Pelodiscus sinensis: one gene and its partners. The main gene of each other region encodes a partner of the protein of the gene in region 4 in a complex. Links are inferred from orthologs where the notes say so. Each region holds a gene or a part of one and is shown on either strand. Other genes may lie near its edges.

Region 1 (7,044 bases), on a different chromosome or scaffold from region 4:
ACATCTTTTAGCATGCCACATGGATTCAAATATCAATGTTATATAATGTGTTTGTCGTCAATTGGAATAGCTGCCATTTTGTTTTGCAATAGTGATTTTGCTTCTGATACATTTGGAAATAACATTTCAAACTTCTTTACAATTAGGGTTAGATCCTGCAAAGTGCTGAGTGTAGTTGATTGGAAACAGTGTGCTCATCATCTTTCAATACTGAGCCCCTAGAGTATGTCTACAGAGTAACATTATTTTAAAATAACTAGCATTATTTCAAAATTACTTAATCTGCGTCTACACTGAAGGCAGTTATTTTGAAATAATGTCGAAATACTGTCAAGCTGGAGGACTTCTTACTCTGACTTCTGTAACCCTCATGGTATGAGAAGTAAAAGAAGTCAGAGGAAGAGTGCTCTATTTTTAAATAAGTGCTTTGTGGACGCTCTGACGTAGCTCAATTTGTGTAGCTTATTTCGCGTCAAGCCCTGCTGTGTAGATGCACCTCTAGTGAATACTGATCCTATGTATAGTGGTGCAGAAAACTGGTGCAGAAAACTGGAGAACACTCTAGAAAGATGATTGTGATAATTTTCCATTACTTTCTTCTCTCTTTTTACAAATATACATATTCCCATTCCATTAAAATGTTAAAAGGTATCTTGCTTGTGTTGACAAATGCCTGTGCTGCCCCACTGCACAGAGTTAAATTTTACCAATATCCACACTATTATTTTTATTGTAGTAGTGGCTAAGGCCCTCATTGTGTTAGGTTCTGTACACAATAGAATTAGAGTCAATCCTTGTTCAGGAGAGATTGCAATCAAAATATAGATGACAGACAAAGTTAGGGGAAAAAGAAAGAACTCATAAGGAGAATGAACGTTTATAATAACCATGAATCAGTTCTGACTGTAGGGGCTTATTCCAAGAAACAAAATGGCTTACATACTAATGTGGATGAAGCAGCTGCTGTACTTGAATACACAAGGAAACTATTTATCATATGGATTTTTGACTGCTTGGTAGAATTCTTAGGCAACTATGTTGCCAATGCTCAATATAATTGGTGGTCCTGGAGTCATCTGAATACATGAAAATTTCAGCATTCACTTCAAAAAATGTAAATTTCTAGCTCTCATGGTAGAGGAGAAAAACAAATATGATTCAGTGAAATCTAATGGCTCAAAATATCACAAGAATCACAATTTTAAAATCTCATTATTTTAATCTAATTTACAATTGTTAGGGTCTGAATAATGAATTGAGAATGTTTTGGGTTGGCAATACTGTACACAGTAGCCTGTACCATACAGTAGGGCTCCTCAACTTTGGAAACCCCAGGAGCCACAGTGAAACTCACAGCACATGCCGAGGGCTGCAACTTAAGTGTGGTTGCATATACATGTAAATATATATGCAAATATATGAAAATAACTTCTTTCACACTGACGGGCATGAATACAAAGATTAAGGCAACACTACACAACACACAGGCCCCATTTAAGTCAGTTCTTCTAATATTAATCAAATGCAATAATGATTTGCACAAGAGGGCTTTTGCCCAAACGGGAGCAGCATAGTATTTCCGCAAGAAGCATTGATTTCTTACAGTAGGAAGTCAGTGTTCTTGTGGAAATTCAAGGGGCCAGTGTAGACAGCTGGAAAGTTTTTCCGCAAAAGCAGCTGATTTTGTGGAAAAACTTGCCAGTCTAGACACAGCCAGTGTGTTTAGAGATGAGTTTTAGACTGGTGCAAAATAGAAATGTTAGAGTTCTGTCAAGATAAAGATTAGAATACTACCGTTCTAGTACCTAACTGAAATGATTAATATTAGTGTTTTTAAACAGACAAGACTTCTTTGTGGAGAGCAATTTTAAGTTTCTTTACAAATATTTTAAACATGAACATGAAGACTGCTCTATTAAATAGTTTTTAAGGATAAGATTTAAAAACATAAAGAGAGGAGATAATAAGTTGTTTTCTTCTGTCATAAGTTGCCCTGCTGCAGAGAAACATTGTAGTGGATACTGTTCTGACAAGCTCCTTCTATCTTAGACTGACCATAAAAAAATTAAACTGAGGTTTCCTATAGAGGGTGATTTAAATGTGTTTATGCCACCATACAAGTTCTGCTGTGGCTGCATGTATTTAGGACAGACAGCTGTTTCCCTCAGCTCTGTATTAGCTGTGATACTTTACCTGGGATGAATGACATAACAAGGTCCTGGAAGAAAGGTGAGAAAGACGGTGAGGGCAGGAGAAATCAAAGTATAGCTGCCAACATAATCTGCTTGATTTTAAGATGTTTTATTACCAAAATGAATGAAAAAAAACATAACTTTGTGATTTTTTTTTAATTATCCTTCAGTAATTCTAAGAAGGTTAAATTCACCTGGCAGACTTGTCTGCTGTATTTTTAGCTTCAAACACAAACTCAGCGCATTTGTTTAGAGAGGATTTTATTTTCAAAGTAAAGGCTTTGGAATACAGAATGTCCCTGCAACTATGATAGTTATCTCTTTCTGAGACATTTAATGTGTTCTTTAAACAGATGCTCTCTCTCAGTCCCATGTTTCTTAAATTGCGTTGTTTGAAGCTTTTTTCTATGGGTTACAATAGATGCTGTGACCTCTAGTGTGAAACTTCCTTTAAATACGCATGAATGCTGGGGAATAGATTATCAGTTTCTAAATGAAACTAAATTACTTTATTGTTAAATACTGATTTAGGGTCTACATTTTATTATTACATAATCTATTACGTAATGCTGGGAACTAGGAAAAAAAGGTGTCATCAGTATGAGTATTAATTGTATTAGTCACACTTTGTGAAACTATGACTGCATTACATAGGGTCATTGCAGATAGCCTTTAGCTTCTCTCTTATAAACTCCTTCACCTGAGTGTACCGTCCTTCTGAAGTCAGTGGAGCTAAGCACTGGTGTAGGAGCCAAAGAAGGCTGCCTTGCAGGATCATGGTCTTTATCTGCCCTTATGCTATCATGTACATGCCACGTATGTTATAGAAAAACTACTTTAAAAATGCTTCCGAGAGTTTTAATAAAGCTAGGTATGTACATCTAGCAGCACAGCTAGGTGTGTACATCTAGCAGCTTTATAGGAAAATTAAAAACTGAAATAACATATGCTAGCCCCCCCCCTCATAAATTTCATTTAAAAATCTCTGATTTTTAAAACTAATAGTTTAGGCCCTTTCAGGGTTATAAGCTGGGAATCTCTCCATTCCTCTGACAAAGCTCCTGTCGCTAGTTGAGATGCACTGCTAAATATCAAATCTCAAACATGTAACTGGGCCAGTGTAATATTTTGGGAGTGCAGGCTAGATTTAGAGATAGGTACCATGGCTCCCTTGTTTTTATGTTAAAATATATCATAAGCAATTCACTTATGGAAAGGAATCAAGATTTGGATAGCGAGGAGGAGAAATGGGAACTTGTAGAAAGAGCTTTACACAAGATTATTCAGTAAAGAAAGATCTTCCAGCTCGTACTCACAGGGGCAATGTACGCACATTATGTGGTTACGTGAGTTGTAGTGTCATCATAGTGTTTGGCCAATTATGTACATATAATAAGGCTTTCACAATGTGTATTGCACCATGGGACATCCGGAGGAAAAAAAACCCATGTAATTAACAAGAGGTTTTATTAGCCATGCATAACGAAGAGGTGATAAAATCTGTGCAAGTAATTATCAAAGAATCCTGTTAGTCAGTAGCCATAGAGGCCTGCTTGCAAGAAAAATGCATAATCTTTTGCAATATAATGTATTTTCCAACTACGACTGGAAATTCTTTCCTACCCTAGGCCCCACATTATTCTAACATATTTCAGGCTGGTCTCTGGAGAAATCTCAAGCAATTTATTTTCAGGAACATCTTTGGTACTGTATCAGCAGGACAACAAAACCAAAAATAGTGACATATCATGTGTGGGCTCTTCTGTCTCATGCAGGACAAATGGAAGGCTTTATAGCTTTGAGGTAGAAAATCACAGTATTTGTCTTTCTCCATTGACCTAGCTGTCTCATATGAGAACATTGCTATAATGACCTGTACTATGACACTTTTATAGCAGCAACCACTCATGCTGATTTCTGTATTCAAGTACAATTCTGACATCCAGTGGCCACTTAGAGTCCCTACAGTGTATTTCAAAGTGTTTTTTAATGTTTAAACCAATAGATTTTGCAAGTAAATATTTATTTATACATTGAAGTAGCCCAGTTACTTCAGGGAATCCATATATGGAGAACTATAGTCCCTTACTTATTCATAATAAATCTTGTATAAAAATAATTTATTGACGCTTTATACTAGTGAGCACACTGACAGTTACAAGTTTAGGCCAATACCTTTAATATAATATTATTGTAAAATATATGCTTAAAGATTAATGTCAGTAATTCAGGATCTCATATACCCAAACTAAATACTCAGTCAATCCTCTTTCAAGTTAGTAACAAAACTCTCCTTGATTTCTATGGCTGTAAGATCAAACATAAAATAGTTCTGTAAAGTAGATTTGATAACTCGGGTGATAACATTAGCGTATCTGAACTCGTATAATAAAACCAGGCTATAGAATATCTAGAGAACCGCATATGACCAGTAGGCACAGTGCCTAGGGCCCACAATACTTTTACAGGCTCATGAAAATAATTTTAATTTTTTTTAAAATCAAAAGAAAAAAAATGAACTTTTAGGGTTGAAGATAATATTTTAATTTTTTTCCTCACATCAGAAAAAAAGGAAACTTTCAGGGCCCACGAAAATCTATTAAATTTTGCCTAAAACAGAAAAAAATAAAATGTTGAAGTATTTAAAGTTATATCAAAAATATTTTTAATTTTTTTTAATGGAGGAAGGAGCCCACTAAAGTCATAATGCGGCTCTGCTCCCAACCGTCTACTTGAATCAGTTTTTAAAAGGGGTGCGATTTCACTCCCATGTTTGCTTTAACACAGATTAAAGCTGGTCCTCTAGGGCACAGCCTCTACCAGCTGCTCAGGCTCTTTCCGAGGCAGAACCCCATTCCCAGGGAGTCTCACGCGGAAGAGGCAGGCGGGGCGGGAGGCCCCTTTGGCCCCTTGCAGTTTTCGAACCATTTCCTCTGTTCCAGGGCACCACGTCATTCTCCGCTAGTGAACCCACGAGGGGAGTAAAACGACGGACACGTGGGCGCCCGGGGGCAGTTTGCGCTGCACGAACGCGCTGCGCACACGCGGCGGTGTCGGGACCGGGCTGGGGGCGGGGCCGGGAAGAGCCACGCCCCCAGTGTCAGGCCGCAGACAGGAACGAGGCGGGGAAATCAGCAGGCCGAGCGACAGGCCGCATCCCCCTCCCCTTCGCAAGCGCGGGGACTACTGCTCCCAGCATGCAACTGGGGCCGCGCTAGCGCGACAGCACATGCGCCGCCCAGAGGCAGCCGAATTTCCCTCGTATTTCAGCTGCGAGCGATCCCGACATGCCCCTGGGCGACCTGCACCTCAGTTTCGTTGTTCTCCTGCCAGTGCGGAAAAGCCGGTGAGTCATGGAGGCAATAGCTCCCGGGGGACATTACGCATTTCCTTCTACGCGTCACTTCCGGCCGCCATTTTGCGCTAGAGCGGGGAGAAGCCTGGGAGCAGCCGTTGGTCCGCGCTGCCCGGGGTGTCGCCTGCCGCCGCCGCCGCCATGACGGACCGTTACACCATCCACAGCCAGCTGGAGCACCTGCAGTCCAAGTACATCGGCACGGGGCACGCGGACACCACCAAGTGGGAGTGGCTGGTGAACCAGCACCGCGACTCGTACTGCTCCTACATGGGCCACTTCGACCTGCTCAACTACTTCGCCATCGCCGAGAACGAGAGCAAGGCGCGCGTGCGCTTCAACCTCATGGAGAAGATGCTGCAGCCCTGTGGCCCGCCCGCCGACAAGCCCGAGGAGTCCTAGCGCCGCCGGCTCTCTACCCAGCCCGGGACACTCCTCGCGCCCTCCCCCTCCAGCCTATGGACCCGGCCCGGTTTCCCCAGCACTCGCCCGCCCGCAGGGGAGCGACGCCTGATGGACGCGGGACGGGGTGAGGACGGATTCCAGGAGGAGCGAGAGGAAGCTGCCTCGTCGCTTCCGGGCTGAACTCTTATTTCCTCCCCGCTCGCGACTGGCCTAGGCATTGCCCCGCCGCCTCGCCTCCAGCAGCGGCCGTGGGCTGGGCGAGAGACTGGACTGTGCCAGCCCCGGGCCGGGGGAACCTGGACCATCTGTCGTCGCTTCCCGAGGTGGGACCTGGATACGAGGAAAGCCCGTTCTTTTGGACTCACTCCCAGCCTGGCCCGCTGCTCCTGTGGGGACTCGGCCTGAGCTGGAGAGACTCGCCCATTTCTTGTGGAGCAGCTCTGTTTACGATCCCTCTTTGTTTAGTGCTGCGGTTTTTTGATATGTGAAATAAAAATGCGTTGAGTTCTTTCAAATGTTGCTCCTGGTGATTTGCCTTTAAGATAACTTATGGCTCAGTAAGAGAACGAGGGACCAGTCAAGCTACAGCAATGTGCATTTCTAGGGTTTTCGGGTGTGTTTGCTTTGAAGCTTGAATCATGGTTTTCAAAAAAGGCATTAACTTCAGCTATTTCCCTATCCTGCATTTCAATCATATTTGTTTACCAACGTTCAAATACCTTGTAGTTTTGATGGTGCTCCAAAAGATTAACTTGAGTCATCAATGTATTGTGCTAGTAAAATGCACAACAAAGTAACTTTGCAGCATCAAAATTCTTATTGTTTAAAGTCCTGCTCACTAATTAAGTACTTGAATGCATACAGTAAGAAGTGAGTAAAACACTGCAGGGAATCTGTGAAAGGCTAAAACTTTTTTGCTAAAAGACTGCTATTAGTAGTTTATATAAACTCTTATCCATTTCCACAAGAAGCAAAAGTCAAACATTTTTTCTGTCTAGACCTATTAATAACGTTCATGGTTTTGTTTGGAAAGAGTAAAGTACCTAGAAATCCAGTGTAGGCGTCTTGGGCAGAGATGAAATGTTGGGTCAA
Region 2 (8,318 bases), on a different chromosome or scaffold from region 4:
ACGGGGGGGGGGGCAGATTAAACAGCCCATTGCACAGGAGAGAGGAAGGGTGTGTGTATTGAGGGGGAGGGGAAGCCGGACAGTTCTGCAAAGCCCAGGGCAGTTGGGAGCAGGGAGGTGACAGGTTCACTGGGAAGCCTTAACACTTAACCCGTGGGGGCTGGAGCTGCTTCAGACCCATTGGGCCTGCTGTGGATAGGTGCCGCTCTGGCCACCCAGAGCAGCCCTTGTCCGCAGTGGGCCCTGCCTGCAGCGGAGAAGGGGGCTACTCCAGCCCTCTTCCCCACCTGGCCTTTAACTGGGATTTTACATCCCTAGCTGGGAGGTGTGCAATATATGCACGGGGCTCTCCAGTGAATGGGGTGTGTGTACTGTGAGATTTGAATGGCTACAGGCAACAGCTTTGGAAGAGTCAGGCCTCTGGCTGCCCGCAGCCCATTCCCAGCCAGCTTTGTTTCCGGCTCTGCAGGGGCACATGTTTCGCTGCAGCGCCGACTGCTGCGAGAATGACAAGGCCTCCATGCAGCAGGTGCACCACTGCATCGAGCGGTGCCACGCGCCCCTGGCCCAGGCCCAGGCTGTCGTCACCAAAGAGCTGGAGAGATTTCAGGTGAGGAGACAGTGACCGATGCCCCAGGCCAGGTTCCATGGGGCCCTACAGCAATAGCATTGGCAGTGGAAGTCTCTTGGAGGCCTCAGCTCCCCGAGGAATCTTCTTCTTGTCCGGTTTAATCTCAAGCCCTGTGCAGAGGTTTGCCGTGGACACATACGGGTTTGGGAGGTGGGGCCAGTCGGTTCTATGCTCAACCCCATTGCAAAAGTAACCTGGATCAAAGGGGACGTACCAAAGCAGGGACTACGTAATGTAAATGGGGCATCTCATGTGGGAGAAGAGGAGGCTGTGAGTGAGGGGAGTATTGGAGAACCAAGGTTGTGCTCTGTGTTCAATCCAGGCTCATTAGGAAGCACAGGGTTTGAAAGCGCAGGACACCAGAAAGGAGAACCTCCTGCAAAGAGAACGTGCCTTTTTAGGGTAGATTTTCCAGTGTGAAAGGGGCAAGTCTGAAAGCGAGCAGGCTGGAGGAGTAGCTACACACACACCGCCACCCCCTAGGGTTTGATATTTGGAGGGGAGCCTAAACAAAATGAGTTTGGAGTAGGGAGGTTAAATTTAATTTAATCCACTAATTGACTAGTTGGTAGATTTTTCCATCGACTAGTCAATTGATCAATAAGCAGGGGAGCCGCAGTGGGGTTAGTTCCTGCTGCGGCTCTGCCTTTTAAATGTATGAAGAGCCACCAGGCTGTGCTGACTCTGGGTCTCCCCCCGGCTGCATACCAGCCATAATGTAAAAAGGCAGGAGCGCAGCGGGGGGACCCAGCGCGAGCTGGGAATCAGCCATCCTGGCTCGCACACAATGGTGTTTCTGATTTTTAAACTTAAGAGCCCGTAGGCTCATAATACATTTAAAAATCAGAGGCGCAGCGTCTGGGACTGGACGCAAACTGGGAATCAGCTGATTCCCGGCTTGCACGTGGTCCCCGCTACCCTCCTGCTTTCCCTGCCCCCTGTGGAGACGGTGCTGCGGGGAACCGGCTCCTGCTGTTCCCCCTTGCTGCCTCGCATAGTCAACTAGTCACTTACATCCCTAGTTTGGAGGTCTCATTGCAAATGATGAGAGAAACTTCCAGATTGCAGCTGGTTTCATTCTTCTTCCAACCATTCCCTCCATTATAAATAATTTTGTTCTGTGTTCTCCAACACATGATGTCCACCTCTTAGATAGCAGGTTAAGAGCTCATTTTTCCCATGTCTGCACTTCCTCCCAATACACTTTCCACTTGCTCCCAGCCATTTGAACCTCTAAGTGTCTGGAATTCTCATTTGCAGGACCGCTTGGCTCGCTGCACAATGCACTGTAACGACAAGGCCAAAGACTCCCTGGATTCAGGGAGCAAGGAGCAGCAGGTGAAACAGCAGCTGGAGAGCTGCGTGACGAAGTGCGTGGACGACCACATGCATCTCATCCCCAGCATGACCAAGAAAATGAAGGAGACTTTGGCAGCTATTACACAATAAATCTGAGTTTGTTTTGGGGGAGAGAGGGAGAAGCATAGCTTCTATTAAGAGAGAGACGTGTACACGGAGATTCGTGTTGGAAATTGAAGCATGAAAATGGATGATAAGGGTGATTTTTGTATTTTCAAAGTATTGCAGTGGTCCATTCAACAGCTGGTTTGAAGTGTTGGTGTCTCGGGTTGATTTGAGAAGTGTCACCAGGTGTGGAGAGGACAGAGTAGTGACTTTGCTCCAGTCCTCAAAGGGTTAATGGTTAGTGTATGTATAGACCATGCTGCTAATAGCAGGATCCTCTATTACTTGATAGTACCTTGACTTACTTTGGTTGTAGTGAATTTAGGGCTGCTGGAAGGCACCTCCAGCTGGACAGGCCTGGAGTGTGAGGGACCTTTGTCCCTGGGACAGGTGCAAACTTCTCCATTGCTGCCTAACTAATATGCCTCAATAGTTCCCTGCAAGTGTTAAGAGTCAGATATAAACTGGTGTAGTTCCATTAGTGTCAGTGGAGCCATGCCAGTGTAAACGCTCTGAGTATCTGGCTCCAAAAGTCCACTCTCCCGTATTCTTGGTGGTGATGTGATGGGCAGAGGATCTGAAGTATAACTACCACTGGGTTTGATACCCTAGAATTCAAAGGGCCATAATTCTTGCCTCACTTGTTCTCTGGGCTATTGTGATTTAAAAAAAAATGCTTTGGGGACAGGATTTTTCCCTCCTCAACTGCCCTCATATCTGCAGAACTGATTGTCTAGCACTGACAGGTTCCCCCTGTCCTTCTAGTGCAAGTGCCTTTATGTTAAAGGAGACAAGAGGAAGTCAGGGAGACTTTTTTTTTTTTGCACTGGTAGGTCAAGTTTCTGCAGTTAAAACATCTTGGGTCTCTGTTGCCTCTCACACTGGCATAAATCAGAAGTGATTCCAATGGAATAAATGGAGATATGCCTGTGTGTGAACCTAGTGGAGAAAAAGCCCTTTAACTTCACCTGACCTCATCAGGCCACCAATCCCGTCATATATAATTCTACAAAGAGAACAAGGTCAGCCAGCTAAGTGTGGGTTCTCTGAAGCAATGAGTCACAAAGAACATGGCCTATTGAAAAGGAATGGCCAATACTACATAATGCTCCACTCATGCTGATTTTACATCTGTATTACTCCTGATTTGCAGTGGTGTAAGGAACAGCAGCATTCAGCCTGAAGTCTATCATTAAGAATTATAGCAGCTGTATTGTTCCATGCAGTGGGGCATAAATGTGTCGTCGTTTCCCCCCCCCCCCCCCCCCCGAGCCTCTGAAAAACAACCACCGAAGGTTTTAATAGGTGGAATCTCTCCTCCTTTTTGACCTGATAACTTTTTGACTTAACGCGCAGAGAACCTGTCCTTGATTCTCCCTCATGCTGGTATAAATCAGGAGTTTGCTTAAGTAAAGAATTGATAGCAGTGTTCAGTGCACTACCAGATTCTGTGTGTTGTGGTGCAGTCTTAAGGTGGATTTCAGATCTCATTCTTCCTCAAGCTGCAGGGACAGGGAGCAAGACAGAGGAGGTTGGTTTGAATGCTGGGGCAAGGTTAAGCTAGTCATGGATAACCATTAATAGCTGCCTCAGATATGGAGCTACTCGGCTACAGGAGTAGGCAATTCTGAATCTGTGGTCCTCAAGGGAAATGAACACAATACAGAGAGGTAGTCACCACCAAAATAAAAAGGGAAATGACATCCAGAAAACAGCAGCACCACCTGGTCCTGTCCTTGTGGCTGGAGACAATGTAATGAATACCTTAGGATGGTTCTATTTATTGTGAGCTGAGAGTCCTGTTTTGTTCCTTCTCATGAACAACTGTAATTAACACAACCATTTTGTTCTGTCCTTTTAAAAACGGATTTATTTTCTAAAAGTTTGATTCAAAAATAAATTTTAGATGATAACTCCTCTGAGTTCTTTCTTACGACTAGGCTCATCATTATGGCTACACTGCGAGAAGTGCTAAATGTGGATTTTGTGTATTCTACTGTGTTTTCCTACCTTGAGCTCTTCGTTTTGTATTATAGTTGGAGCTAGTATGTGTCTCAAACACTGCTAACATTTAAAACAGCTCTAGTTCCAACTCCCTGCTTTGGAACCAAAGAGCCAACCTTATTATTAATCCTGTTTAGTGCCTAGGGAAGCAATGCCAAATGGTGTGCTAAGGACTGCACAAATGGAATAGTGGCATCCCAACGGAACAGTCCCTGCCTCAAAGAGCTTACCAGCTAAAAAGTCAAGACAGGGAAAGGGGTGGCAGCAAACGTATGGCAGGTTCCTCCTGGATTGAAATCGGATTATTTGTCAGTCACCACTTTCTTGTGTAAATCGGAGCCAGATCCAAACTCCGCACATGTGGCAAACCTACATTTTGCGTCTACACGTTGTTAAACGGGCCGAACCAAAACAGCGGATCCAGCCCCCTGGAACGTGGTCAGGGCAGGTTCCAGCGCCAACGCGAACTGAAAAGCGAACCCAGAGGGTCGCTACATGCAACAAGCGAGGCCGTATTGTCTAGGGGAGCCGCGCATTCACATTTCAATGAGTCCGTATTTAGGCAGCATTGGTAACTCCGCGGCCGACGGGCCCCTGTGTGGAACCGGCTTTGGCATTATCTGCTTCGATCTGGCTCCCGAGCGGCCACTGCTTCCCCGGAAAAAGGAGATTGGGCCTCTATTCTGTGGAGTACGGCGGAGGTGAGCTAGGTGCCCTCCTCCATGAGGCGCTGCTGACGGGGAGAGAGGAAGCGGCACGGCCCGCATTGGCTGTTGGGTCAGTGAGGTCATCCGCAGAAGATGCCGGAGACCATGTTGATTGGCTGGCTGGTCTAGTGATGTCATACGCAGGCGCCCGATTGGCTGTCGGGGTCCCAGCACGCGGCTTCGGCGTCAGCTCTGATTGGTGGCTGTATCCGGGACGCGGTGACGCCAGAGGCTGGGTTCCGCGCGGAGGAGCGGGAGGCGGTTGTGCGGGGCTGACTGAGAGGGCACCATGAGTAAAGCGCACCCGCCCGAGCTGAAGAAGTGAGTGCGGCGGGGCGGGGCGGGGCGGGGCGCAGAGCGGAGATCGCCCCGCCGAGGGAGGGGCGGCTGGTCGAGGGGGGGGTGTAATTCCAGTAGGACCCACCTTAATTGCCTACTCCCCCAGTATCCCGGCATGCACCGCGCTGCCCAGTGAGGCCTGCCCGCGCGGGGTGGGCGAGACCCCTCCCGTGGTGTGCACATGGCTGCGCCCCGCCCCGCGCATGGGCGTAGCGACCCCGCCCGCTCAGTTCCGGGTGCCCCGCCCCCTGCTGAGCCCGGCACTCGGCGCCTCCCCTGGCCATTGGCGCCTGCGCACAAACCACGCGGCTGCCCGGGACCGGCCCATCTGCCGCGTTGTGGGGGGGCTCTGGCACGCCCCCTTGCGGCCCCCTAATGCGCTGCCTCCTTGTGCTTTCAGATTCATGGACAAGAAGCTGTCACGTGAGTTATTTGTGTGCGCGCCTGGATTGGTTGTGAGCAGCCGTCACGCTGCCATTGGATGGGCTGGGAGCAGCACTGTACACGTGGGTTGTTTGCCAATGTGTGTGTGATAGGTATGACACACCACTAAACAGACATGCTATTCTTAGTATTGAAACAATACACGGTGGCGACGGCTAGACTGGCAGGATTTTCCGCAAATGCCTTTAACGGAAAAGTTTTCCGTTAAAATCATTTGCGGAAAAGAGCGTCTAGATTGGCACAGACGCTTTTCTGCAAAAGCACTTTTTGCGCAAAAGCATCCGTGGCCAATGTAGACGCGCTTTTGCGCAAAAGAGCCCCGATTGCCATTTTCGCAATCAGGGCTTTTTTGCGCATAACAAATCTGAGCTGTCTACACTGGCCCTTTTGCGCAAAAGGACTTTTGCCCGCATGGGAGCAGCATAGTATTTCCACAAAAAGCACCGATTTCTTACATGAGATCGTCAGTGTTCTTGTGGAAATTCAAGCAGCCAGTGTAGACAGCTGGCAAGTTTTTCCACAAAAGCAGCTGCTTTTGCGGAAAAACTTGCCAGTCTAGACACAGCCATTATATCTAGTAATAGAGATGTAGCTTGCTGAAACAAAAGACAGGACTATGCAGCAAGAAAATTGGCATGACCATATGTACCAAAGGGATACAATCCAAAAAAGTGCACGCACATAAAATTGACAAATCTGATTTTAGAACAGAGGGCGGGTGAGGGAGGGAGGTTAGTGTCTATGAGATAATGATATTAAAATCTGATTTGTCAATTTTATATGTGTTCACTTTTTTCGATTGTATCCCTTTGGTATATATGGTCATGCCAATTTTCTTCCACAATTTGATCTGAGGAAGTGGGTCTGGCCCCACGAAAGCTCATCACCTAATAAACCATCTTGTTAGTCTTTAAAGTGCTGTATAGTCCTGTCTTTTGTTTCACATTATATCTGTGGATGTTGGGAGGTTAACTGAATCAAAGATGGTTCTCCCACAATGCCATTTACCCCATCAGGTATCCCCCAACACTTTGCACCATTGAGATCAGCTTTGTCATTAGAAAATAGAAAAGATTCAAAGGCAAAATATATTGAGCTGCCTAGGAATGGTAAAATGTGGGTAATTGTGTAACCCCTGAAAAAATTCAGTGGTTATACCCACCCACAACAGCAGTTGGCTCCCTGTGGAACTGACTGCCGCCTCTGTGCTAATAGAAAGGCAGCAGCGCAGGTTGGCAGCCAGCTCCCCAAGAGTAAGGGTGGGGGGCTTGCATGTAACCGTGAATGTTAACCAATAAGCTCAGGCTTATCTGTTAACTGCTTACACAGTTACACCTTCACATCCCTAGTATTGCACTGGTAGTGGTTCTTCATGTACCAGTATTTAGAATGCTGGTATCCAAAATAAAGATGAAGGTGCAGAACAATACGTTAAGAAACTGGTACCTGCTAGTGTGTTGGATTTTAAGCCAGGTCTACACTAGACCTGACTGCTCGGTTTAAGGTACGCAACTCCTGCTACGTAGACTACGTAGCTGGAGTCGGCTTAGCAGCGTCCCAAGTAGCGGGAGGCCAACAGAAGCAAAGGAGGAATACCGGATGCTGGCAGGGACACCCTCTGCTTGATTTAGCAAGTCTTAAAGACTTGCTAAATTGAACTCCAGAAGGTCGATCATGGCAGCAGTCATCTTCCTTTTAATAATGACTCAATGATAAACATAAAGTTTTGTCACTTGTGAAGTCATGTTATAAATAATGGTAGTTGAAATGTGTATCTTTGGAGCACATTTTCTGTATAAAGTGCTGCAAGATTTTTGCTTCCCACAAGAAGGATGTTTTGTCTTTAGACAAGATCTTTGGCTAATATTTCTTGAAAGATTTTAAGACAAAAATGGGTGGGAGAGTAGTCAAAAAATTGGGGTCCACCTGAAATGCTGCTGTGTTATTTTTGGTGGTGTTTTCCAATGCAGTTTTAATAGAATTGTGCATCTGAGTGTACAGTAGGAAAGAATTATCATGGAGCTGAATAATGTGTTTGGGGCCATGATAGGTGGCTGTTGAGTTGCTGTGTTTATCTCTGTTGATTAAAGTAATACACGAATGACAAAAATGGGATTGCAGTGCTCCAAAACATGCAGATATCATTGGTTTCTGATCTCCAGTGATGACAACTATGCCGTTACTTTTGTTTACGGTCTCGAAAGTGGCTGCATACGTAAATACATTTATATGATTTTACATACGCATTTATGACAAGAATGACTAAAAGTATTGTGTAGATCTTCAGTCTCCTTCAGTAATAAGAAATATGGTCTTGTCCAAATGACTGTATCTCTACAAATTCTTGTCATAACTAATGTATTATTCAGGTTGTATTGTGGTAAGGCCTAAGGACCCCAATAATAGGCTGGGATCCCGCTTTAAGCATTGTACAGACCTATTATACAAATATTTCTGAATAAGATGTTCTGGAAGGGGTTACAGAGCAGGGAAATCAGTGGTCAGCAGCACACTAACTGCCTGACTACTACAAAATGTTAATCTTCAACTCCTGCATGTTGAAGATTATAATATGAGACATTGTCGGCCCACATTCTTCTAATATTGACTATCTAGACTTCCCCATTATAACACTGCCTTTTTTTGTGATATGAAGCCTGTGGTATGGGGAATCCTAATTCCAATAATAAACTGTGGTCCTTTAACATGCAGTATGATGAAATAGTATT
Region 3 (7,561 bases), on a different chromosome or scaffold from region 4:
GGCAAGTAAACCAACAGTGTCAGAACCTGCTGGAAGAAAGCGTACAACCTCTCTTACCATGTAACCTTTTTCTAAATCAATGAAAAATGGTTTGGAAGGTATGTCAACAAAATGATCATAAATAATTAAGGGAATAATTATTTAAAATTATATCATATGTAATAAAAGTATTTAATTTTTTTTGAAGATTGTTTTTTATTTATAGTCTATTACAGTAGACTTCCAATAATCCGGCACCTTTGGGACCCAGGAGGTGCAGGATTATCGGATATGCCAGGGTATCAGGAGGTACTCCAGCAGGGGGCTGTGACGGGTCTGCTGGGACCCGCACTGTGACCAGCAGGAGAGGCGAGGGGGGGGGGGGGCTCAGCTGGGAACGGCACGACGAGGGGCAAACCCTCCGCCGTTTTGCAAGGAGGCGGAGGAAGCCCCACGCAGCCGCCGGTGACAGGCCAGCTGAGGTTGCAAGCGGTGGCAGCAGCAGACTTGGGGAAGCGGCGGAGCAGAGCAACTGGGGTGCTGCCAGGTTGGCGGCGTTGCGGGACCAACCCGGCAGAACCCCAGCTGCTCTGCTCCGCCGCTTCCCCAAGTCTGCCACCGCTGTTTGCCACCTGCTTGCAAGAGGCGGAAGCAGCGGGGCAGAGCAGCTGGGGTGCTGCCGGGTTGGTCCCGCAGTGCCGCCCCTCATCTAGCCCCTCTCCTCCGTCACTGCTTGCAGCCCCAGCTGGCCCGTAGCAGGTGGCTGCATGGGGCTTCCCCTGCCTCCCTGCAAAATGGTGGACATCTTTATACTGCCTTCATACTTACGATAGCCACACTTCTTGCATCCTGCCCTTATGTTATCCTTATTTCCACCTGAAAACAAACAAACTTCTGTTTATGTTCTAATTAGTAACACACAAAATTGTTTCTTTTTATCCTTTATATTTGATTTAACATGGTGTCAAAGTGCATATGCATATTGCAGTGGCTTCAGGTGGTAGCTGAGTTAGTCTGTTACAGAAAAAACCAGCAAGCAAATGGTCTGCTAGCACTTTATAGACAAACAAAACATGTAGATGGTATGAGCTTTCGTGGGCACAGCCCACTCCTTCAGTCTATTAAAAAAATCTGTAACTAGCTAGTCTATTGTCTGGCTAGGCCAGAAGGATAAGATACAATGGATGTGATTTAAATGTCTCGGAGTACCCAGCAAATTAAAGTTTATGGTGCATATAATTCTCTAATCATTTGCATATATGTGGGGACAGCGCTGCCCCTTCCTCATTCTGGTTCTTAGCAATCCCACTGCTGGGACATCTCATCCTCTTCCAAAAAGAGGGGGCTAACTCCCAGTCATACCAGTCTCTAACCACCCATCTCCATTCCTTTAAATACCTTCTTTAAATTGTGTTTAAATTTATTTTATTGGATCACTTTATCAATTCCCTATTGGAGTACCTGTACTGAACATCTGTGACAGAGGCTCCAGCAATTAGCTTGACTGTCTTCCCTCACACCTAGCCCAGTTCCCAGAAATCTATTGATGCCTTCAATATCAGCCAAAAACATATCAACTTCTAAATCTGCAGGTGAACCCTATATTGTCCAATATAGTATGGCAGGATGAGAAATCATCAACTCCCTTATGCCATCTATGATTTTGGCCCCCTCTCTGTTCTCATACTTCCTACTCTTGTCAACCCATGGAGGCTTCACAGCTTCCTGCCAAACCCTGTGTCACAACATGTCCAACCAATTAATTTTTACTCCTGGGAAAGTTCTAGGATCTGCCCCAAGTCCCTCTTAGATCTGAACAATGAGCCTACCCCTTTACAGGTTCCCCAAATCATTTCCCCCAAGGTGAATAACAATCATATCTAGTGCTTGTTCACAGGCCATCTTACTATCAGGAGCATCACCTGTTCCCACAACCAGTGTTCCCTCTAAGATGCACAGGCAGCACAACTTCACAGGTGATGATTAATCAGTCAGCTCCATGCACAGAGCCCTGAGCCTGGCTCGGTGGGGCTGATTAATCACCTGTGAAACTGTGCTGCCTGCACAGCTTAGAGGGAACACTGCCCAAAACATGTCCCTCTCTCACTTTTTAACTTATTTTGGTAAGAAAAAGCATTGAGCCATAATGCAAAGGGAAACAGAATACAACTGTGTTACAACATCCCTAAAGTCACTTTTCTACCATGTATCCTATCACCATAATCCTGATATTCTATGTTAAAACAATTAGTGCCAAGTACTTTTTGTACTTGGCCACAGGTTGGTTTCAGGCATCCCAAAAGGGGCAGGGCTTCAGGTGGAAGGGTTCGTGGCTAGAGAAAGAGAGACTGTGACACAGACTGAGAGTGTGTGACAGTGACAGAGTGTGTGTGTTGGCTGCTGCTGAGTAAGTTCCTGAGAGAAGCTTTACTTTGTCTTTTTAAAGCAGGGGAAACTGCCCTGCTCTGTTGTTGTCCATCCACCCCCTGCAGAGATTGGGTATGACCCATTTACAATTGCTAGTAGCAAGTAGGAATATTAAAAAGCAGGTAATTGGGTAACTCTGTAACTGCAGAAAAGTTTCAGTGGTCTGATTGCTGCATTTGTGGTCAGAAAGCAGCTCTCCTCCATACCAGACAGCATGGGACAGAGATCACTTGTTGAGTTATATTAATGTACTGATGAATTCTTTCAGAAGGGCAGCCATGTTAGTCTGTGTTTGCAAAAACAATGAGTCCTATGGCACCTTAGAGATGGGGGCTACATCTACCCTGCAGACTCTTTGCACAAGAACAGCTGTTCTTGCACAAAAACTTGTGAAATGTCTACACTGCACGTGTGTTCTTGCACAAGTAAATTTACAGTAAAACATCAGAAAAGAGAACTTCTTGTGCAAGAGTTATTCCTCTCCCTACAAGGAATAATCCCTATTACGCAAGAGCTCTTGTACAAGAAGGCAGTGTGGTCAGGCAACAGGGGTTTCTTGCACAATAAACCCCTATGGCTAAAATGGCCATCAGAGCTTTCTCGTGCAAAAGAGCATCCACACTGCCATGGATGCTCTTGTGCAAAAGCACAAGGCAGTGTGGGCGCACTCTCGTGCAAGAACTCTTGCACAAAATAGTTCTTACACAAGAAGTCTGCAGTGTAGAAATAGCCTAACAGATTTATTAGGACATAAGCGTCCACAGGTAAAATCCTCATCATCAAATAAATTGGAGTGGTATTTACCAAGGCAGGGGGATATACACAAGGGCTGTGTCTACACTGGCATGAATTTCCAGAAATGCTTAAAACGGAATACTATTCCGTTTTCAGTTTTTCCGGAAAAGGAGCATCTACATTGGCAGGCTGCTTTTCCGGAAAAGCCCTTTTTCCGGAAAAGCGTCTGTGGCCAATGTAGACGCGCTTTTCCGGAAAAGAGCTCCGATCGCCATTTTTGCAATCCGGGCTTTTTTCCGGAAAAGACTACTGGGCTGTCTACACTGGCCCTTTTCCGGAACAGTGTTCCAGAATAAGGACTTATGCCCGAGCGGGAGCAGAATAGTTTTTCCGGAATAGCGGCTGATTTTGTACAGTAGAGCATCGTTGCTTTTCCGGAAATTCAAGGGCCAGTGTAGACAGCTCGCAGCTTATTCCAGAAAAGCAGCTGATTTTCCGGAATAAGTGGCCCAGTGTAGACACAGCCAAGGACAACTTAAGAAAGAGGATACTTGGGTAAATGAGGCTAATCAAGTGTTATGTGACATCTTTACATTATGATTCAAGGACTTCAATAACGTACAGGCGTGGGTGGATTCTGTAGCCTGCAAAGGTCATGCCAGAGGACTTGATCATGATGAACCCTTCTGGCCTTAGCTATCAGTATATAACTATCCCCCCCCCCCCACCCGACCCTCCGCGAAACCTGGGTTTCTTCCTTCACTCGGCTCGTGGCCACTTCCTTTCTAGGCTGATACCGGCCCCCACTTGCTGCCCGGCTCTTTTCAAAGCTTCACTGCGTTGTCTCCCCCTGGACCTTTGCCCCGAGCTCGTCTCACCTACGGGCACCCTCCCAGGACGGGTCCGGCCCCCCAAGAGCCACCGGAGGTTTCGGCGAGCGGAGACGATGGGACGCCCTCACCACCCAGGCTCCCGTCCCGGCCTCCCGCGCCAGCGTCTCAAGGGTCTCCTCGGCCGCCCGCTGCCCCCACGCCGGGCCAGAGCCCTCACCTGGCAGCGCCATGAAGCCACGAGCCCCGCACGCTCTCCCCGGGCAGAGCCGGACGCAGGCCCGACACCCGAGCGTCCCGGCCGGAGGGCTTTGGGCAGCGCACACCGGGCCGTACCATTAGGCGGGGAGGGGAGGCGGGATCACACCACGGTGTCAGTGCGGGGGATGGAGGAGGCGGGTCGCTGGGGGAACTCAGGCCTAGGGCGCACGACGGAGGCGTTTCCCAGAGCGGGTGCTGCGGCTCCGCGTTTGGCCTCTCGCTCCTGCTGCCTCCCCCCGCGCCGCGGCGCCAAATCCCGGGGTCCAAGATGGCGGGAGGTTCGCAGAGCTAGTCGGGGTTTCAGCAGCGCCAGACCAGGAGCGAAATCGGAGTCGCCGGGTCCGTGCCCGCCCCGCCACCAGCATGAGCAACATCTACATCCAGGAGCCTCCGACCAACGGCAAGGTGCGGGGGGGGGGGAGCAGAAGCCGCCGCCAGGCCCCTGGGGAAGGCGAAGGGAGCGGGAGCCCGACGGGCAGCGCCGAGAAGGGCCCGCGGGACTGTTCAGTATCAGTTAATTGAATAGTCAAGAAACCGCATCAATTCCTATTGTTACTGGCTATTTGATAGTCCCCCGGGGTGGGGCCGGCAGCCAGCGCACTCCAGCCCCGCTCCCAAGGAGCCGTTACCTCGGCTACAGAGGCGGCCGCAGCACAGGGTGCCAGGTGGGAGCTGGTCCATGAGGGAATCCGGGTTAAAAACCAGCTGCCCTCGGAGACCAGCTGCCTGCCCTGGGCTGCTGCCTCTGGTCTAGGTGGGGTCAGAGTTCCCAGACCTGGTGCAAAGCAGAACTGAGCTTGGCTGCTTGCTTGCCTGCCTGCCTAGCTCTTAATACACTTTAAATGCAGAGCTGCAGCGGGGGTAGGTCATGGACTTGGTGTGAGCTAGGATTCTGGCCAGCCTGCTAAAAAATTTACTGGCAGGGGAGGAGGGAAATGCGTGTAATATATAGCATTAACCAGTAAGCTTTTACTTACCAGTTAATTGGTTAATTGGCTACACTATTGCATCCCTAGAGCTGCTGCACCTCCTGGCTTGAAGCAGCCATAACCAACAAGTACATGGTTTCCATCATCGCCACCCACACTATAAAGTGGTTCCATCTAGGAATGTAAAATACCATTCAGTCAGCTAGCTAGATAAATATTATGTTTAACCAGTCAACCGCATAAATGGGGGCGGGTGTGGGGGGAGCAGCTCCAGACCAGATGTATTGGAGCCACCTCCTGCCCCATTCACCATGGACACATTGGAGCAGTTAGGCTGGGCTGGCTGCGGGTGTAGGTTGCTCCAGCTGGACTGGAGCGCCCTTGCCCACAGCACGCTGCTCTGTTAACCATTCACATCCGTAGTTCCAGCACTCCTACAACTATGTTACAGTTGTTGGCAGGTGCAAGTTAGCTTAGCGTATTGCCTGTGTGAGCATATAGTCCTGTGCTTGCATTCTTGATTGCTTGCCTTGGCACTGAACATATGCATGCAGAGTAGTTGGGTCAATGCAAAGTGTGGTGACTTGCATGTAGGTATTCCAGCCTGCAAACCAGCGCTGAATAGTGAAAGGGTGAGCAATAAGACAGTGGCAATTCACCACAGTTAGCCCAGGGCAAGCCGCCAGCCCTTTATTTACCTGCATGTCCACAGGTACGGCCATTTGCAGCTCCCATTGGCCCCCGATCAGTGTTCCTGACCAATGGGTGCTGCGAGAAGTGGTGTCGCAGTCCACGCTACTTCCTGCAGCTCCTGTTGGCCAGGATCAGCAATTTGTGGCCAATGAGTGCTGCAAACATCTGTACCTGCAGCTGCACAGGTAAATAAAGCATCAGTGGCCTGCCGTGGTGAACAGCGTCTGGCCTGTGAGCCACTCATTGCCCACCCTGGTCTAGCACAATACCTTTAGGGAAGTTTTCTCCTATGGTGGGATAGAAATGATGCACACCGTGATTTATGGGAGATAAGAGTAAAGTTCCCAGTATGCAATTTAGAATAATTTGGAACTCTTGGTAATATGGAAGACATAGTACATGGATTTGTAGCAATGGGATTCCAAGGCTGTGATATACATTAGACAAATCCCCATTTTGATACCAGCTTACCTTGCTATAGAGTACAGCAACAGAAAGGACTACTTTTTTGTGATTATGCAAGCAGATCACTAGGGGAACTTTACTGACATCAGTGTGGGGTGGGTCAAGGGGAATGCATGATGCTTATGTCCAGGGCTCGACAAATAATACAATCTACTGGTTGGTGACCACTGCCCTAAACACTTCATATATGAAGTGTGGGGGTTGCTTCTGAGCATATACTTACCACAGGATCCAGAGGCTTTGAAGCCTGGAGACCTTGGCATGCCCTGGTGCCAAAGGTACATGGGAAGGAGAAGATCTCTCAACTGAATTTTAATCTCTCTAAACAACTAAGGACTGTAACTACTATTAACTCACTGACGTTAACAACTGTAAAGGACTACGAAAGAGTAAATAGGCTGCTTCACTTGCAAACAAGAGAATAGGGGAGTTTCATCTCTCACTGATGGTAAGAAGGAATTGAGGAGGCTTTTTGTTTTCTTTACTACTAGAAGACTTATCTGGCATTGCCCAGGTGCTTCATTGCAGAGGGCTCATGGAGTGTGGGGGTCCAGGAGTCAGGGTAGGGCCTTGGGGATGTGGGGAGCTCAGGGCATGAGGCTGGAGGCATGGGAGTGTGTGAGAGTGAGCATTGGGTGGATGAGGCAGGCTCAGGACAGGGGGGCTCAGGACAGAGTGGCTGCTGGTTTCTCCTCGTGGATAGCCCAGGGCACCGGGTACTACAAACTCCCTCTGCTGGCTTGTCCCCAGGGCAAGCAGGGGCTCGCTCCTTCCCTCCTGGCCCAGCCAGGAGTGGAGGGTGTCTTCCTCCCCCTAGATCCTTCTGGGATGGCAGGGGCTCTTTTCTTCCCCTATGACCCTGCCCAGGTCATGGGGGGACTCTCTCTCTCCCGTCCTGGTTCCACCCAGGGCAGGGGGCTCTCTTCTTCCCCTCCTGGCCCTTCCCGGGATTTGGGGGGCTATCTCCCTTTCCCCTGATCCCTCCTGAAGCAGGGGGTGCAGCAGGGTCTCTCTTTCTCTCCCCCTTACCGCATCTGTGGTGAGGGAGTGAGGGTGGCAGGGGCTGTCTCCCTGGCAGGAGGGCCTTGCTTACCTTTTCTGGTGGCAGGCAAAATGTCAGAGCCTCAGCCCTGCTGGCCACTTCCTTGGTATTATGGCTGCCCCAATGGACACACTATAGCAGGAATGGACAAAAGAGCCAAGTTGATCTGGCCCATGGAAGCCCTGCCACTTCCCCTACCC
Region 4 (7,964 bases):
GGCAGGTGGAGGGTACGAGGGGGGAGGGAACAGGCCCCTGGCAGGAGGAGGGTACGAGGGGGGAGGGAACAGGCCCCTGGCAGGTGAAGGGTACGAGGGGGGAGGGAACAGGCCCTGGCAGGTGAAGGGTACGAGGGGGGAGGGAACAGGCCCCTGGCAGGTGAAGGGTACGAGGGGGGAGGGAACAGGCCCCTGGCAGGCTGAGCAGGCCTGTGGGAGGGGGAGAACAGGCCCCTGGTGGGCAGGTGCGATACCCCCATCTTGAGCCCCTCCTCAGCCCCCATTCTCATACTCTCCACCCCTGAGTCTCCTGTCCCCCCTCCCACATGCCCAAGGCCCTGCCCTGAGGGACCCGGGCAGCACAGGGTGAGTCTGCTAGGGGAAGATAATAAGCAGGTAGGTAGTGGTCAACATGGATTTGTCAAGAACAAACCAACCTTATGTTCCTTCTTTGACAAAGCAACAAGCCTTTGAGGACAGGGAGAAGCATTAGATGTGACAAGTCTCCTGATACGGTCTCACCTGCCTTCTCCTCAACAAACTAGAGGAACGCAGCCTAAACGCACCTGCTGTAAGAGGGATGCACAAGGCATTATAAAAGCAACTGAGAGTAGTCACAGCCAAGCTGGAAGGGCAGATTGAGTGGGGTCTCAGGGATCTGTCCTGGGGCTGGTTCTGTTCAATTTCTTCAGAAATCATTTGGATAATAGGGATGTCAAAACCCCATTCAATTGGTTAAACACATTGTTTGCCCAGTTAACCAATTAATGGGGGGAGTATGTGGGGGAGCAGTCAAGCCTGACCGAGCTGGAGTGGCCCCCCCATTTCAGGAAGGGGTTGCTTCAGCCCAGCCAGAGCAGCCCCTGCCTGAAGGACGCCCAGGCCCGCCACGACAGGTTAGTCTCTAAGGTGCCACTGGACCACTCGTTATTAAATCAACAATGTAATTCTTCTGCAAAGAAGGAAGCATAATTCTTGGATAAATTACCAGAATGCTGAAAGCAAGACACAAAAAATAATTCTTCCACTCTAGTCAGCCTGATAAGGCCGCAACTGGAGTTTTTTGTTCAGTATTGAGCACTTCCCTTCAGGAAAGATGTGGAGAAACTCTAGAGGAGAGGAACAAAATTATTGAAAGTCTAGAAAACACGGCTTACAAGGAAAGACAGAAAATAATGGGATTGTTAGTCTGGAGAAGACAGAAGGGGGACATAATAGCCCTAAAGTACGTAAAAGGTTGTTTAAAAGACAAGGGTTTAAAGAGTAGGTTGTTTTAAGAGGATAAATTGTTCTCCCTAACCACTAAAAAAACACATTTTTTAAAAGGGCTTATTGTACTAGATGACACATCAAGGCACCCTCCAGTCCTACATTTCCATGATTCTGTGATCAATATGAAACTTTTATCCTAACGAAAGAATGTTCGATTGTTACATTCCCAAGACTGTGACTCGCAAAGAAACCAAAATCCTGCAAACCTGAACTCTTCATAGGATGCCACCTTCTGGTGAACGGCTCGGAACTTGGCATCATTTTCTCTTTGGTACTTTTCATCAGCAGCAACAGCAGCCTGCAGCTCTCTCTCTAATGCACAAAAATCTATTGCTTCAGCCTCCTCCATTCCAAAGATCTAAGAGCAAAACATAAAAACCACAAGAGTGACTTTAGTGCATAAGCATCACACAAAGAGAATACAGTACTCCTTTCTCTTTCACAGCCACCCATTTCATCCCCAGAATTCTTGCTAGACTTACTGTAAGTAACTACTAGAGTGTGTCATGTGCTAATGATCCCACCTCAGTCAAGCAAACTCCTGTCTTAAATAACCACTTGAAAGGATGCCCAAGTCTCCAGTGCAATTTTTAATCTGTTGTTAAAGACCAACCTCTACTACACAAAGTGGTTTTGTTCTGGAGTCACAGTTTGTCACATAAAACAGGTGTTATTGTGTATTGCTTGATCATCACACTCCCTGAACATTAACTGAAGGCTGCTGTCACACAAACTTTGCTAAAATCCCCCACTAAGAATGTGGTGGTTAATAAAGTCTCAGGGGGCAACTGTGTTCATCTGTATCTGTGAAAACTAGAACTCCTCCTGTGAGCACCTTGAAGACCAACAGATTTATGTGGGCATAAGCAGCCCAAAGAAATCTGTTAGTCTTTAAGGCGCCAGAGGACTCCTAATTGTTTTTCAGTTAATAAAGCCTAAAAGTTTACAAATCGGCAATAGGCATGTGGGGAGAGTGTAAAATATTCAAGGTCAGATTCAGATGCCAGTAAATAGAAAGCCCTATGTGCCAGGCAGGAACCTTTCCTCTTGCTGAGTAGCACAATACTCTGCAAATCTCCTGTTTCATGGCAATACTCCTGGAGTGAGGCCCTTCCCAAAGTACACAAGAGGGTAAGGATGTTAAATACTGGTTAATTTACTAGTCGAGTAGTCGATCGGCACTTCCGCATTCCTCCTTTGAAATGTAGAAGAGCCCCTGCACTTCCGCATTCCCCAGTGGAGGCTCTTGTACATTTCAAAGGGGGAATTCGGAACTCTGCGTGCAGCCCAGGGCCAGCGGGAAGTCCTGCTGACTCCGGATTGCGTGCAGGCGCTTCTGCATCGAAATGCACAAGAGCAAAAGGGGGAGGGGAGGGCAGCTTTGAACTGTACAAGAATCCTCAGCAGTGGCTCTTGTGCATGTCAAAGCAGAAATGCCTGCACAGAGCCTGGGGTCAGCAGGGGACTCAGGGTTACTTTGAAATGCTGCACGGAGATGGGGTCAGCTGAGGACTTTCCAGCTGATCCCGAGCTCTGCGTGGCATTTCCAAGTAATCCAGGATCAGCTGGGGACTCCCCAGTGGACCCCAGGCTCCGCGTGCTTTGAAATGCTGCATGCGGAGCCCAGGATCAGCTGGAAAGTCCCCAGCTGATCCCGGGTGCCAAGGAAATGCTGCGCGGCGCCTGGGTCAGCTCTGGACTCCCCAGCTGATCCTGGGCTCCGCGTGGCATTTCAAAGCGGCAGCGCCACGTTTTGTTTATCGAATAGTTGACTAGTCCTTAACATCCTCACAAGGGGGTGCAGCGTGGCACCCAGGGTTTAAGTTCAGGGTGCTGAAGGAAGAGCTGGTGTAGCTGGAAAGCTTGTCTCCTGCAGCAGCAATGGGGGGTCCAATAGACAAACTTTCAAGCCACATGGAGCACTGGGAGGAGGGGGCAGGGGGTGGCAAGCTGAGCATCTGCTCCCTGTGTCTGGCATCCCTCACGATCCCCTCCAGGCCCCCCAGCCTCCCCCCATCGCCCCCTCCAGGCCCCCCAGCCTCCCCCCACATCACCCCAGCCTCCCCCCATCGCCCCCTCCAGGCCCCCCAGCCTCCCCCCACATCACCCCAGCCTCCCCCCATCGCCCCCTCCAGGCCCCCCAGCCTCCCCCCACATCACCCCAGCCTCCCCCCACATCACCCCAGCCTCCCCCCATCGCCCCCTCCAGGCCCCCCAGCCTCCCCCCACATCACCCCAGCCTTCCCCCATCACCCCCTCCAGGCCCCCCAGCCTCCCCCCACATCACCCCAGCCTCCCCCCATCGCCCCCTCCAGGCCCCCCAGCCTCCCCCCACATCACCCCAGCCTTCCCCCATCACCCCCTCCAGGCCCCCCAGCCTCCCCCCATCGCCCCCTCCAGGCCCCCCAGCCTCCCCCCACATCACCCCAGCCTCCCCCCACCGCCCCCTCCAGGCCCCCCAGCCTCCCCCCACATCACCCCAGCCTTCCCCCATCGCCCCCTCCAGGCCCCCCACCCTCCCCCCACATCACCCCAGCCTCCCCCCATCGCCCCCTCCAGGCCCCCCAGCCTCCTCCCACATCACCCCAGCCTCCCCCCACTGCCCCCTCCAGGCCCCCCAGCCTCCCCCCACATCACCCCAGCCTTCCCCCCATCGCCCCCTCCAGGCCCCCCAGCCTCCCCCCACCGCCTCCTCCAGGCCCCCCAGCCTCCCCCCACATCACCCCAGCCTCCCCCCATCGCCCCCTCCAGGCCCCCCAGCCTCCTCCCACATCACCCCAGCCTCCCCCCATCGCCCCCTCCAGGCCCCCCAGCCTCCTCCCACATCACCCCAGCCTCCCCCCACCGCCCCCTCCAGGCCCCCCAGCCTCCCCCCACATCACCCCAGCCTTCCCCCCACCGCCCCCTCCAGGCCCCCCAGCCTCCCCCCACATCACCCCAGCCTTCCCCCCACCGCCCCCTCCAGGCCCCCCAGCCTCCCCCCACATCACCCCAGCCTCCCCCCACCGCCCCCTCCAGGCCCCCCAGCCTGCCCCCACATCACCCCAGCCTCCCCCCACCGCCCCCTCCAGGCCCCCCAGCCTCCCCCCACATCACCCCAGCCTCCCCCCATCGCCCCCTCCAGGCCCCCCCGCCTCCCCCCATCGCCCTGCAGAGGCGCCCAGCGCCGCTTGCCGCGGGGGGCCCGTTAGCCGCTCGCTGGGGAGGGGGGGGGGGGGGTTGGGATCGATCCCCCTTCCCGCGCCTCGCCACGGCCCACGCCGCAGCCCGGCTTCCTGGCGGTCTCCATAGCAACGAGCGGCGCGGCGCCGAGGCCCCCGGCTAGGGCTGTCCGTGCCACGCGCCTGATCAGATCCGGCTCCGCCGAAACGGCCCCGGCCCCGCGGAGCCAGCCGGACCCAGGCCTGCGACCCCCCCGCCCCGCCCCACCCCGACCTCGGCCTCGGCGCGGGCTGCAGCGGGAATCCCAGCGGCCCGTTGGGCAGGCGAGGGGCCAGCCCCGGGTCCTTCCGCGCTGGTGTCGCAGCGGCTGCCGGGAGGGAGCGGAAGGCGCGGAGCGCGAGGCGAGGAGCAGGGGCGGCCGGAGGCGGCGGCGGGTGAGTGGGGCCGGCCGGGGGGGACTAGGGGGCTCTGGAGGGGGCGGGGCGCTGGGGGGCCCTGGGGCGGGTGACGGGCGGGCCGGGGGGGCGCTGGGGGGTGGGGGCGCTCTGGAGGGGGCGGGGCGCTGGGGGGCCCTGGGGCGGGTGACGGGCGGGCCGGGGGGCGCTGGGGGGTGGGGGCGCTCTGGAGGGGGCGGGGCGCTGGGGGCCCTGGGGCGGGTGACGGGCGGGCCGGGGGGCGCTGGGGGGTGGGGGCGCTCTGGAGGGGGCGGGGCGCTGGGGGCCCTGGGGCGGGTGACGGGCGGGCCGGGGGGCGCTGGGGGGTGGGGGCGCTCTGGAGGGGGCGGGGCGCTGGGGGCCCTGGGGCGGGTGACGGGCGGGCCGGGGGGCGCTGGGGGGTGGGGGCGCTCTGGAGGGGGCGGGGCGCTGGGGGCCCTGGGGCGGGTGACGGGCGGGCCGGGGGGCGCTGGGGGGTGGGGGCGCTCTGGAGGGGGCGGGGCGCTGGGGGCCCTGGGGCGGGTGACGGGCGGGCCGGGGGGGCGCTGGGGGGTGGGGGCGCTCTGGAGGGGGCGGGGCGCTGGGGGCCCTGGGGCGGGTGACGGGCTGGGAGAGGGGGTCTCGTGGGGATGGGGTGGCCGCGGTGCATTGTGGGATGGGCACTGATTGCTCAGGAGGGGGCTCGGAGGGAGGTGACGTGGGCGGGGTGTTGGGCGGGCTGGGGGGGAGTAGGGGCGCACTGGGCAGTTGTCAGATGTTTCATAAATAATTCAACTGGCAAGGGTGGGGGTCGGGGGCAGGACTCCGCTTCGTCCCTGGTGCCGGGAAACCGTTGCCCCAAGGAGTCTCGTTACACGTGACTTTCTCTCTCACGGTAGCATCATGGACACAGACTTGTATGACGAGTTCGGGAATTATATCGGGCCAGAGCTCGACTCGGATGACGACGACGATGAACTGGGTAGAGAGTCCAAGGATCTTGATGAGGTGCAGTGAAACTTGTGCAAAAAGCCTTCGTTTATCATAAATGGCACCAAAATAATGTAAAACTGAAATGAAAGTTATTCTGGTCTTAGTTGTCCTCCTCCCGTTCTCCTGAAGTTTAATCAAGACTGTAGTTATCCACAGACATCTGATGCAAGCTGAAAAGTAATTACAAGTTGGACCTCTCTGGTCCGGCACCCTTGTGACCTGACCCGTCCCTCATCCCTGACAATGAGGGATTGTGCCGGACCAGGGGAGGTCATTTCTGGCCCCCCAGCCCTGACCTGGCTGATGACCTCCCAGCCTGCTCACCCCTTGCCGTTGGCATCGTTACCCTGTCAGCCCCACTGTGCTTCCAGGCCCAATTGGGCAGCCCGACTGTCAGCCCACAGGGCTTTAGGCTGCCAGCTCTTCATTGGAACTCTGGTCTTGGAACATCTGTGGTGTGATGTTGCCAGACCAAAGTCCCGATTTAGAGAGGTTCAGCCTGTATTTCTTCTGAGTCAGTGTCTCCTGGCCCCAGAAAATGTAAGTAAGTGAGAGAGAAAGAACCCAACACCAAGCTTACTTAGAGTTTTGAAGGAAAATGTTTATGTACTATTAAATATTCTGATTTAATAGATTTACAAAAACAAAGTATATAAAAATATAATAAAAATAAAAAATCTACTAGGCTGCCCTGTTGATAGCCAGAAAAAGACAAGGAATTTTGTCTTGAACGTGGGACAAAATAAGAAACTTACTCTGTTTTAAGTGAGTTTCCCCTTTACTGGGCACATTCAAATAGGATTTTCATGTTTTAAGCAAGAGCTGTAGACTATCGCTCATTTTTACTGATACTTTCTGGTGTCTCCAAGTAAGAGAAGTTAGCCCCAAGACATGACATGTTCATCATATGGTTTAAAGCACGTCTGGGAGGCATTCAGAGTCTGGTGGTGAGCTTGGTGTAAGAACATTTAGAGAAGCGAGGAATGTGAATGGTATTTATGAAAAAAGAAACAGTGGTATGTTTAGCAGTGGTGTTGAAAATTTCTTTTTCACTGAATTTTTGGTAGATCTTCAATGATCTAAGAAATTGGAACTAATCACTGCTATTCTTTTAAAGCAGGGGTGTGGAACCTGAGGCCTGGGGGCCGGATGTGGCCCCTGGCTTTCCTAGATCCAGCCTCCGAGGCTTGGGGTCCCCCTCAGGGTTGGGGTCCCCACGCTAGTGCTCCAGCCCCTTCACTATTCCTCCATGGGGCTGGAGTGCACAAAACTGAACTACTACATCTACTAGCCTGGGCCCCCAAAGTTCTGGCGTGCAAGGGGAATGTCTTTCTCATTCTCAGTTGAGCCACATCAGTGAGGATTGGTTTGGTTTGGTTTGTTTGTCAGGGGCCCCTATCCAAAAAAGGTTCCTCACCTCTGCTTTAAAGAAATAGAATTCCTTATGGTGTGAGTATTTATATGTACATGTAAAATAGTCATTATTGTACTGGTGAAATCACAGCTCCCACACAACTGGGATTTGGGGGTTTCATGCACAGGGTTTGGTAGCTTCACTTTGATGTGGTGTGTCCATGGGTATGTTGTGTACTGGGTATTACTATCGATTGCCTGCCGTGTAAGCATCACTTGCATATGGCGTTGGGATCTGTTTTAAAGATGACCTGCTGCTCATTGTGGCTATCTGAAATGGATTCCAGGTGGGAAAATGGCCTCCAAACTGAAAAATGGGAAGCCCCTCACAACCTTTTTCTGGACCTGACTTTGAAAGGTGCCTGATACAGAAAGACTGGGGCCTGCACTGCAGTTGGATATGATCTAGATCAGGGCTACTCAACTTTGGAAGCCCCGGGGACCGCAGTGATACTCCCAGCACATGCCGAGCGCCGCAACTTACGTGTGGTTGCATATTTATGCAAATAGCTTCTTTCACACTGACAGGCATGAATACAAAGATTAAGGCAGGACTACACAACACGCAGGCCCCATCTAAGTCAGTTCTGCTGATATTAATGAAATGCAATAGTTACCCAGTTTCCACCCATATGACTGCAATTTTAATGAGCAATGACAGTCCAGGAATTTAACTACTAAAATGCATCTCAACAGAAGACCATTCTGTTG

The links.
Region 1: EFTUD2 (region 4) and SF3B5 share a complex: the UniProt entries of both Homo sapiens proteins name them as parts of the minor spliceosome. The link is inferred for Pelodiscus sinensis from reciprocal best matches to the Homo sapiens genes EFTUD2 and SF3B5.
Region 2: EFTUD2 (region 4) and SNRPG share a complex: the UniProt entries of both Homo sapiens proteins name them as parts of the minor spliceosome. The link is inferred for Pelodiscus sinensis from reciprocal best matches to the Homo sapiens genes EFTUD2 and SNRPG.
Region 3: EFTUD2 (region 4) and CWC27 share a complex: the UniProt entries of both Homo sapiens proteins name them as parts of the minor spliceosome. The link is inferred for Pelodiscus sinensis from reciprocal best matches to the Homo sapiens genes EFTUD2 and CWC27.

What each region holds. Positions count from the first base shown.
Region 1 is NC_134713.1:102,061,847-102,068,890, reverse strand, and holds SF3B5 (splicing factor 3B subunit 5), read left to right. Parts: upstream 1-5,341; 5' UTR 5,342-5,688; coding exon 5,689-5,949; 3' UTR 5,950-6,467; downstream 6,468-7,044. UniProt on the Homo sapiens protein: Component of the 17S U2 SnRNP complex of the spliceosome, a large ribonucleoprotein complex that removes introns from transcribed pre-mRNAs.
Region 2 is NC_134738.1:2,089,558-2,097,875, forward strand, and holds the start of SNRPG (small nuclear ribonucleoprotein G), read left to right. Parts: upstream 1-4,992; 5' UTR 4,993-5,095; coding exon 5,096-5,127; intron 5,128-5,545; coding exon 5,546-5,568; exon of another isoform or gene 5,569-5,626; coding exon of another isoform or gene 5,627-5,681; intron 5,682-8,318. Other genes in the region: protein FAM136A, read left to right, coding at 395-610, 1,892-2,080. UniProt on the Homo sapiens protein: Plays a role in pre-mRNA splicing as a core component of the spliceosomal U1, U2, U4 and U5 small nuclear ribonucleoproteins (snRNPs), the building blocks of the spliceosome.
Region 3 is NC_134716.1:91,048,002-91,055,562, reverse strand, and holds the start of CWC27 (spliceosome-associated protein CWC27 homolog), read left to right. Parts: upstream 1-4,455; 5' UTR 4,456-4,595; coding exon 4,596-4,637; intron 4,638-7,561. Other genes in the region: uncharacterized protein LOC102460411, read right to left, coding at 808-855, 4,192-4,204. UniProt on the Homo sapiens protein: As part of the spliceosome, plays a role in pre-mRNA splicing. Probable inactive PPIase with no peptidyl-prolyl cis-trans isomerase activity. As a component of the minor spliceosome, involved in the splicing of U12-type introns in pre-mRNAs.
Region 4 is NC_134739.1:148,645-156,608, reverse strand, and holds the start of EFTUD2 (116 kDa U5 small nuclear ribonucleoprotein component), read left to right. Parts: upstream 1-4,709; 5' UTR 4,710-4,868; intron 4,869-5,746; 5' UTR 5,747-5,750; coding exon 5,751-5,855; intron 5,856-7,964. Other genes in the region: DNAAF19 (Ig-like V-type domain-containing protein FAM187A), read right to left, coding at 1,479-1,632, 3,062-3,230. UniProt on the Homo sapiens protein: Required for pre-mRNA splicing as component of the spliceosome, including pre-catalytic, catalytic and post-catalytic spliceosomal complexes. Component of the U5 snRNP and the U4/U6-U5 tri-snRNP complex, a building block of the spliceosome.